Coturnix japonica: one gene and its partner. The protein of the gene in region 1 interacts with the protein of each later gene in a biochemical or structural test. Links are inferred from orthologs where the notes say so. Each region holds a gene or a part of one and is shown in the gene's direction. Other genes may lie near its edges.

Evidence for each region.
Region 2: the proteins of MYO6 (region 1) and DAB2 form a complex in vitro, tested with the Homo sapiens proteins (7 studies listed by BioGRID). The link is inferred for Coturnix japonica from reciprocal best matches to the Homo sapiens genes MYO6 and DAB2.

Annotation. Positions count from the first base shown.
Region 1 is NC_029518.1:73,466,569-73,470,867, reverse strand, and holds the start of MYO6 (unconventional myosin-VI), read left to right. Parts: upstream 1-1,389; 5' UTR 1,390-1,460; exon of another isoform or gene 1,461-1,578; intron 1,579-4,299. UniProt on the Homo sapiens protein: Myosins are actin-based motor molecules with ATPase activity. Unconventional myosins serve in intracellular movements. Myosin 6 is a reverse-direction motor protein that moves towards the minus-end of actin filaments.
Region 2 is NC_029547.1:11,321,330-11,325,912, reverse strand, and holds the start of DAB2 (disabled homolog 2), read left to right. Parts: upstream 1-1,558; 5' UTR 1,559-1,758; intron 1,759-4,583. UniProt on the Homo sapiens protein: Adapter protein that functions as a clathrin-associated sorting protein (CLASP) required for clathrin-mediated endocytosis of selected cargo proteins.

The DNA of each region.
Region 1 (4,299 bases):
GGCCCTGGCAAGGTGAAGGAAACCAGGAGGGTCTTTGAGGAAAACAATGGTTTGGGTTTGCTCCATTAGCAAAATGCACAGGGCTTTCAGGGTCTGCAGGGGAATGATGTGAAGTCAGGACAACGGTGCCACTTGTGAAACACTGCACAGAGAGAAGTGAAGTGTTTATGGCCAGCTGGCCAACAAGCAGGTGGTGCCAGGCGTGCCCATAAAACCCAGGGTGGGGGAGGTGACACAGAGCTCACATGTGGGTGCTTAAGAAGGGGTGGCTATACGTGTCCTGGGCTGCATGACACACGTCACAGGTATGATGCAGTGCTGCCCATCTCTGTTGTGAACACAAACAGTGGAGCGTGGGTGACAAGATAAGTGGTCTCATTTATAGTGAGATCCAGGACACGAGCCTAACCAGGTAATGCAAATGGCAAGAAGGGCATGGCTGGTTACAGACTGAAGTGTGTTTGTTGACACTTGCAGGGCTCATTAGATATAGTATGAGGTGTTTTGAGTGTCCCTTGCCTTTGAGGGTAGAGTGGGCACTCAGCACCAGACAGGACAGGGTGAAGACTGATCCCACTCAAGGGATGCAGAGGTTGGGGGACACTCGGTACATATGCTGCACAGCCGTGGCCCTTGCCCTGCCATGTCGTGAGCTGAAGTGTGTCTGTGGGTTCCCAGAAAATAGCAGTGATGGCAGTGAGCACAGCAGGGTGCACACAAGGGGAGCTCCTGTGGAAGGAACAGAGCGATCTCCAGTTTTGAAGGTTTCCCACAGCAGAATAGAAACCATCTGTGTTATACCCTTCTGTCTTGTAGCCCCCCTTAAGATGCTGAAAGGTCGCCCTCAGGTCTCCCTGGAGCCTTCTCCTCTCCAGGCTGCACAGCCCCAGCTTCTCAGCCTGTCCTCCTCATAAGGAGGTGCTCCATCCCTTGGATCACTGTGGCCCTCCTCTGGCCGCGCTTCAACAGGTCCGTGTCTCTGTTGTACTGAGGGCTCCTCAAAAAAAGACAGACGAAAAAAGCATGAAACATCACTCCTAGCAAACACAACGGGAACCCCCATCGAACAGCAGCTATTGGGGCAGGCCCAGGAGCCCCCAGCACATCCCTCCCGCACGGCAGCGCCGCCTCCAGCCGTGAGGGCTCGGTGTTGTCCGCAGGTGAGGCGGCCCCACGCAGGTGAGCGGCCCAGGGGAGCGGGGCGGCTTCGACCCTCGGCGTCCTGCGGCCTCGTAGGCCATTGACCTCTGCTGTGGCTGCGGAGCAGGCCGGCAGCCGGGCACGGCTTCCCATCCACCTCCTCCTCCTCCTCCTCCTCCCCCGCCGCCGAGCTCCCGCCCCCGGCCGGCCCCTGTGGCGCTGACGTGCGGGCGGGTGGCCGGGCCGGACCAGGCTGCGGGGGGCGGCGCAGAGCGGCGCGGCGGTGGCAGCGGGGAGCGGAGCGGCGGCCACAGCAGCAGGTAACGCCGCGGAGCCGGGGCCGTGCTGCAGGCCGGGATCCACTGCCCTGCTCGGCGGCGGGTGGAGGCGGCGGAGGGGCCTCTCCTCGCCGGAGCGTCCCGGGCGGCCACGGGGCAGGTGCGGGCGGCTCCCGCGGGGCCCGGCAGCGGGGCTTCGGGTGGGGGTGTGTGCGAGAGGGGCTGGCGGAGTTTTGCGGCAGCAAAGGTGGGCAGAGCGCGGAGCGGGAGTTGGCGGAGCCGGGAGTGGCCGGGCGAGGCCGCCGTGCGGTACCGGGAGCCGGGCACGGCCTGTCCCGGGGAATGCGCGGAGGTGCCGGCAGCCCCGCGGGGGGCGGCGGCTCGGGCGGTTCCCCGGCTCGGCCGAGCGGAGCCGGAGTCTGACGGGCGCCTTCCTGAGCGCTCCCCGTAGGAGGAATTCATCCCAGAGCTGCCTTATCAGGTGCTGCTGGGGCTAAAGTGCTTTCTCCTTACTTCCTTAACTGAAAAGTTATTAAACATCCCTCCTCCCTCCCGCCGCCGTCCTAAGTGTAGCTCTGTATAATGCCGTGCATTCCAGCTAACGCTGAGTTTTATCCACACTCCCTTCAAAAGCAATTCTGTGCTCCTGGGATTGTCCCCGTAAAGGAAAGAAACTCTTTGCGGTCTTGTCTGGACAAAACTGGGCATGGTGTGAACTGCAGTGAAGTGCATCTCCTCTCTTCTGCCCGAGTGCTGTGGCAGGCTGCCTATGGAAAGCAGTGTGTGCCTATGGCTGATACGCTACAGAAACCCATCTCTGACTTCTTCTATTTACATCTGTTACTAAATAGGAAGAATTAAAAGTGTCTTCTTTGTTAGCTGTCACTTGAAGACGGCTCACAGTGTTACTGTAGGTACTGCTGATGCTTGCCTGATACTGGGCAATCACATTCCTGGCTAATAAATCCTGATGCTACCAGATACCTATAAAATTGAAATACCTGAATTAAAAGCTTATAGATTACAAGAATGCGTGGTTGTTACCTATTATTTCATTTAAACATTGCTGCTTGTCAGCCCTTTTCTACAGCATGTCATGCCTCCAGCCTTGGTATCCCACTGTATTCCTGAAGGAAATCAAGCCATGGAGCCATCCCGTAGCTTGCTGGCACTGCAGGCTCAGCATGGCCTATGGACTGGGTGAGCAGGTGCTGGGGGACAAAGGTTGGCCACTGTGTTCAACCTTCCTTTATTCCAAGTGTGGCATATTAACCAAGGGCAGGGATGGACTCCTGAGTTAACATTAACCTGCAGCCTTTCTTCTGCTGTCTTCTCAAGACAAAATACAATGCTAGGGTAAAGGCTGAGGGACAATAGAAGCGATTAAATGATAAAACTTGTGGAAATGTATAAGCATAAGCAAATGCCACCTTATGATGCTTGCTCAAGTGCCATAAAGCTGTACTAATGTGCAGGTTAGATTTGAAGTATATGTTTTATAAAGTAACTGCAAGGAATAAAAGTGTAAGAGTTTATTGCTGGGGTGGGATGGTAAACATCAGAATTGTTGGAGCACTGGTTAGTAAATACAACATAGGAGAGGTTTCAAAAGTAGAAGTTAGGATTTAGTTTGCCTATATTTTTAGTGGCTGTGCTTTTAATTTGTGTAAGTTACTAAATGATTCTGTGGCAATACAGTTGTGTCCCTCTGAAGCTATAAAGCCCGCAGAGTGAATGTAAAGGTAGAGAAGTTTGCTGCAAGGCTCACTGACATCATGAAGTAAGAAGCGCTTCAGTAGTAGCTTGTAGAAACTGCAAATTGAGCTTGTTTCCCTCACCTTGTATTTCTAGTTGGGTGGGTGTCTGAGTGTAACCTGTCCTGAACTCTGAGTCTGGGATTGCTACCTGCTGGTATTTGATGGACACAGTAACCATAATGATCCTGTGGATGTGCCATCGGTGTTTGGACACAGTAACCATAAAGGTCCCATAAGGAAAGTCAACTCCTGGCTCCCCACGCCTGTTCTGCAAAGGCAGCCTTGTGACTCCCTCTAACCTTCATGCTCTCTTGGTGTTTAATAATGCTGATCTGAGAAAGACCTTGAAATGTTTTGGCAGAGGAATTACAGTGTATGGTGATGTGAGCGATGTGGCCAAGGTGAGAAGGGAATAATTCTTTACTGTCGCTTTCAGTACGAAATGCCAAAGCAGGAGATTAAGCTGGCAGGTTCAAAGCAAACAAAAGGGTGTTTTTTACTTACCCAATGTGTAGCTACTTAAGCTTTGGAAATCCTTTCTGAAGCATGTGGATACCGAAAGCTCAAAGGGACAAAAAAAGCAACCGGATGAATTCATGGAAGAAAACTCCCCTGAGGCCCATCCTGTAAAGCTGCTGTGGCTCAGGGGTTGGCCACAGGTGGAGCTGGGATGGGATGCAGGCACAGCACTGTCATGTGTTTACCAAGCTTTTGTATTCATTCTAGGTGTGCAGGGCTGCGTGCAGTGCTACAGGCAGCAGCCAGGAGCAGCAGATCTGCTCTTTGACCCAGAACAGGTGATTTGGGGGAAATTATTTTTCATATGAAGAATTTGTTAGCAGCTGAACCTGAGGGACCGTGTCTGGATATATTAAGTGTGGTGACTGATCTCAAGGAGCTGTTATGTGTTGCCATTGTCAAATGGAAACAAGTAGCTCAAGCAGTACTATAGGGCAGTTCTGGCACCTGTGGATCTGATGTCTGTCTTGTGTACTGGGTTAGCACAGAATTTGAAGGAGTCAGAGGAGGCTTTCTGAGCCTTGGTTTTGATGCTGCCTTTTGGAGGATGGGGGTTTCTGATATATTTAGTGGCTGTGCTCAAGTATAAAATGCTGTGTTTAGAG
Region 2 (4,583 bases), on another chromosome or scaffold:
AGCTAGTCAAGGTATTTCAGTGCTTATGTTTCATGCCAGGCAAAGCACAAGTGTTGGTCTTGCTTATGCCAGCAGCAGGCTGACTGCATTATAGAAACTGCTTTGTTACTGCACCATGTTTAAACCAGGCACAATTTCATCCTTCATTTGAGGCGGGCTGCGTCACTCAGTTCCACAGTGCATGCTGAGCAAAGCATAACACTTTAAAATGCATACTGCCCCAGCACAGAGAAGCTGTAACCTCACTGATATGATAGGTCTCCAGCTCAAGGTGTTCACAACAATGCACAGTGCAGTGCAAGCAGTACAAAACCAACATTGTTAAACATGAATAAGACAGTGTCCCAAAGAAGTCACATCTAACCCTTCAGACACCGACATGTGCATGGCCAGCAACCTGTTAACTGCAGCAATGCCTTACTGAGCCATTAAGTAGTATGTACTTCCCTCCATGAATGCTAGGCTGGTGTTCGAAAATACGTCCCTCCGAGTCCTTTATGGTTAAAATTAGCACTTCTGAAATCAAAGACTGATATGGGCAAATGAGACAAAACTGACAGCTTTTAGTTACCCCAGGCACAGGACTCCTATAGATTTTGCCATTGCAGGCCTGTGCAGCATCATGTTGTGTCAAGGAAAGTATTGTGCTACTTGGTAGCTTTGGATGGACTTCACGACCAGATGCACCCATCAGTTTACAAATTTAACTTCCCAGTAATAAAATCATTTTTTATTAATTCTTTTCTTCTTCTAAAGTAGTAAAAAATATTTACCAAATTAATTTATTGCTACTTCAAGGAAAAAAAAAAAAGGTTTTTTTTTCTTTTTTTTCTTTCTTTTTTTTTAATGTCAGGCATTGCTTTGAAGGGCAATAGCACAGATTGGACAGAAATGTTTTGCACTGTTTTGAGAAAATGAATGTTAGATTAAGTTTGCAGCTTTGGGGAGGGGGAAGTAAAATAATAATAATAATAATAATAATAATAATAATAATAATAATAATAATAATAATAATAAAGCTCTTCTGCATGGACAAAGCATGAGTTTTTATCAGAGGCTCTTTCATACGAGCTGGAAAACTGTTGTACTGCACAGGGAAACAAAACATTAGTGAGGTTTTAATAAAGATGAGTGGAAATTATAAAGGTCAGGTTTGGATGTAGCCCAGAAACAGAATCATATCCCAGTATGGTTTCAGCTAGCCACAGATTTGTGGGGGGAAAGGGTGGAATTTTGATTTTGGTATTTTTGCAGAAAATAAGTGTTCAGCTTGGATTGGATTTTTAATAACACTGCCACACCTGTGTATAAACAGACAGTCACACAGACACAAGAGAGGACCTGTTTCCTAGACGAGAGCTTCAGGCGCATCGCTGCACGAGAAGCACCAGATATGTCTCCCCTGAACCAACGTGCAAGCTTCCACGCACCCATCGCAAGTCTCACTCGGTGACCGGGGCTGTGCTGGACACCCCCTAGCTGCGGCGGGGGCCGGAGAGGCGGCTCGCAAGGAGTTAATCTTGTGAGCACCGACACGTTGAGGGGGAGTAGCCAAGACCGAGCAGCAAAAACATCATAGCACATTCCTGGGTAGTTCTCAGCTGCCAGCATCTGATTAAAACCATATCTCTCGCTGTGAGTGGCTAACTAATCCGTAGGCGAGAGTGCCACTGAATATTTAACCGGGCCCTCGCTCCCCGTCCGGCTGTCAGCTGCGGTTCTCCTCGGATCATGCACGGAGCGGCACGGATCTAGCTTGTAAGTAGCTTTGCGAGCGGGGACTCGGCTTTTGCAAGCCTCCGGGAGGGGCTATAACCAAGGAGGGAGGGCGATTTTTTTGTTTTGTGGGTTTTTTTTGTTTTTTTTTTCCCCCCCTCTTTTCTTTTGCCTCTTTCCTTTTCGAGAACGTGGCAGCGGGACCTTATAGTGGGGTTTTGGGGGCCGGCAGCCCCCTGCCTCGGGATGGCAAAGCCGGGGGAGGGGGGTGCTTCCACCGGGGCCGTTTGCGTTTCCCTGCAGCTCCGGCGGCGTCGGGCCGCGCTCCGGCCGCAGCAGAGGAGAAGGTGGTGCGGGGTGCGGGCGCTGAGGGCCGCGGGGACTGCGGGGCGCTCTGCTGTCCGGGTGCGGCGGGCTGGAAGCCGCCCGCATCCTGCCCCGGGCTGCAGCAGAGCCGGCTCCCTGAGGAAGCCCGATCTGAAAGCAAAATAAACATGAGTTTTTATTTGTTTGTCAGGGGAGGGGGTGAAGATGTAAAAATTATATGAAGCTTCGTGTTTATATGCATGCATCTCCGAGGTGAAAGAATCTTCTAGCAGCAGAGAGAAGGCTTAGAATGTAGTGAAGCGGGGGTAGGCTTTCTGTTCTGATTTTTAGATGGAGCATCCTTGCTGAACACTCCTCTGTCTGGTGGTGAATCTCAGGGTGATGCATTCATTTGTGGTAAACAAATATGGTTTCTAGGACTAACTGAAGTGAGAACACTCTCTTGTCAGGAAAACTAACTTCTCAGCTGGTGAAGCTTTGAGCCCTAGTGATCATCACATGATGACACTTTTGAGTGCTGTTCCGCGGTAGTGCCGGCGATCCAGCAGTAAGATCTGTGCAGTTGGAATTCCCTTAGCAGAGCTTTTACTCCTGAGCTGAATTGAGGGTGATTACTTGAGTGCTTACTAGGGAAGCATGTAAATCCATTGTTAAGGTAGGATTAACTTTACTTTGTTTAGGTTTTTATTTGGGGGTGTGGGAGGAGGTTGAGGGTCGAAGGGGGGCTGGAGAGGAATTGTCTTATCTTTAAAAAGTTTCTTTGCCTTGGAAGGTTACATTTCTGCTGAGTGTTTCATAATTTCTGTGAAAATTCTATCTGAGGTAGACTGGGTATCAGAGCATGTGGGCTTTAAGATTTGGTCATTGTATGCAGGAATGAGCACTGATATGCTTAGGGATGGGAACTCCTTTGTAGATAGGCAGCTCAGATTAAATTAATTACGAAGCTATATATTCCAGTTGGTTATGAAGATTTATTAGGCACTAATATGTTGGGGGGGGGAGGAAATAAATGATGTGGTGTCTGATAGTGACCTGTTGTGCAGTTAGAAGTTGTTATGAAGGCCTACGAACACTGTGTCAGGTGATGATAGAGGTGAGACTCTGGGTGGCTAAGCAGGAGTAAATCAGAATCCAAATGATAGCTTCTCAGCTGAGAAGAGGATTGTTTGAGGGAGTCAAAGAGCATGCCTTTTTTTAAAGAATCACTGCAGTCACATCCAACACAAATGGCCCTTAGGGCACAGTTAGGCTTCCAAAATGACCTGAGTGAGCTGAGGATGTGGTCAGATCTGAAGCAGAAGCATCTGTTAGTAGAAACTCACTAAAGTTTGCATTTGGAAGAGGAAGATTGCTTTGAATTCTAAATGAATGTCCAGTGAGCCATCAAAGCAGAAGCTTCACTATCAGACCTCATGACTGAGAGTACAGGAGAACTCTGACTAAAGTGCATTGAATGTTAGGTGCTGTGAGATTAGATGCTTCCGCTATGCAGGACCTAGTAGTGCCTTCTGTGCTTCTTGCTGTAGACAGAAGGCTGGATGAATGGCAAGCTTTACTATACAAGTTCTTTGACTTGTGTCACTCCTTCTCATCTATTATGCTTTTACTTCAAACAAAGCTATTGGCTGAGCATCAGCAGTTGTGCTCAGCACTGTAACTCGGGTGGATGGGCCAAATGCCAGAAATCTGGCATCACTTTCCTCTTGTGAAGGTAGAGATGGTTATCCATTCTAATATGTGCCTTCTGCTGTGTTTCTATGTACATCTGCAGAACACAGCCTACTTTCTCATTGAGAGAAAATGACTTGACAAAGTTGCTACATAATTTAGTTATGGGACAAAATGGCCCAGTAGATGCTACAGTTGTTTAGCCCCTTTACTTCATGAGTAGATGGGAACAAAGCACTTTAAACACGCAAACAATATGTGCAAAAGGTACCAGAAGAGCTCTTAGATTTGTGGGAAAACAGCTGTACTTAGTGTCAGCTGGGGGGGGGGAGGCAACAAACAGCTGGTATTCAGGCAGGATGTTTAAAATAAAAACTACTGCTTGTGATGTTAAGTAGAAGTGCATAATATGCTGTGATTACTGAGTATTGTTGCCAGGCCCACAGATCTTTCTCCTGTTGATGGTCTTCTCTATGTACTTTATGCTGCTGGTACACTTGTGTGACCTACTAGGTTAACCCAGTTCTTGGGAATGCTTGTGAACTTCATACAACAAGCCCAGCACAAAGCAAGCACTTCTGAAGTATGAATTTGCTAGGACAATGAAGAGACACATTCCACACCAGAGAGAGACTTCTTACTCTGGAAATAGTACTGGTAAACCAAATTCTGCTTGCTATCCACTTTCCATCAAAAGTGATGAGATAGCATGATCGTACCTTGTAATCTGCAAGGATTTTGGAGGAAAAACTTAACTCTTGTGTGAAGATTAAGGGATTAGTAATAGAAATAAGACTCTTCCCCTGCTGTGTGGGATGGAGAGGGAAATGCTAAGAGGTTTTAAGCTTCTTCTATGTAACACAACCAAG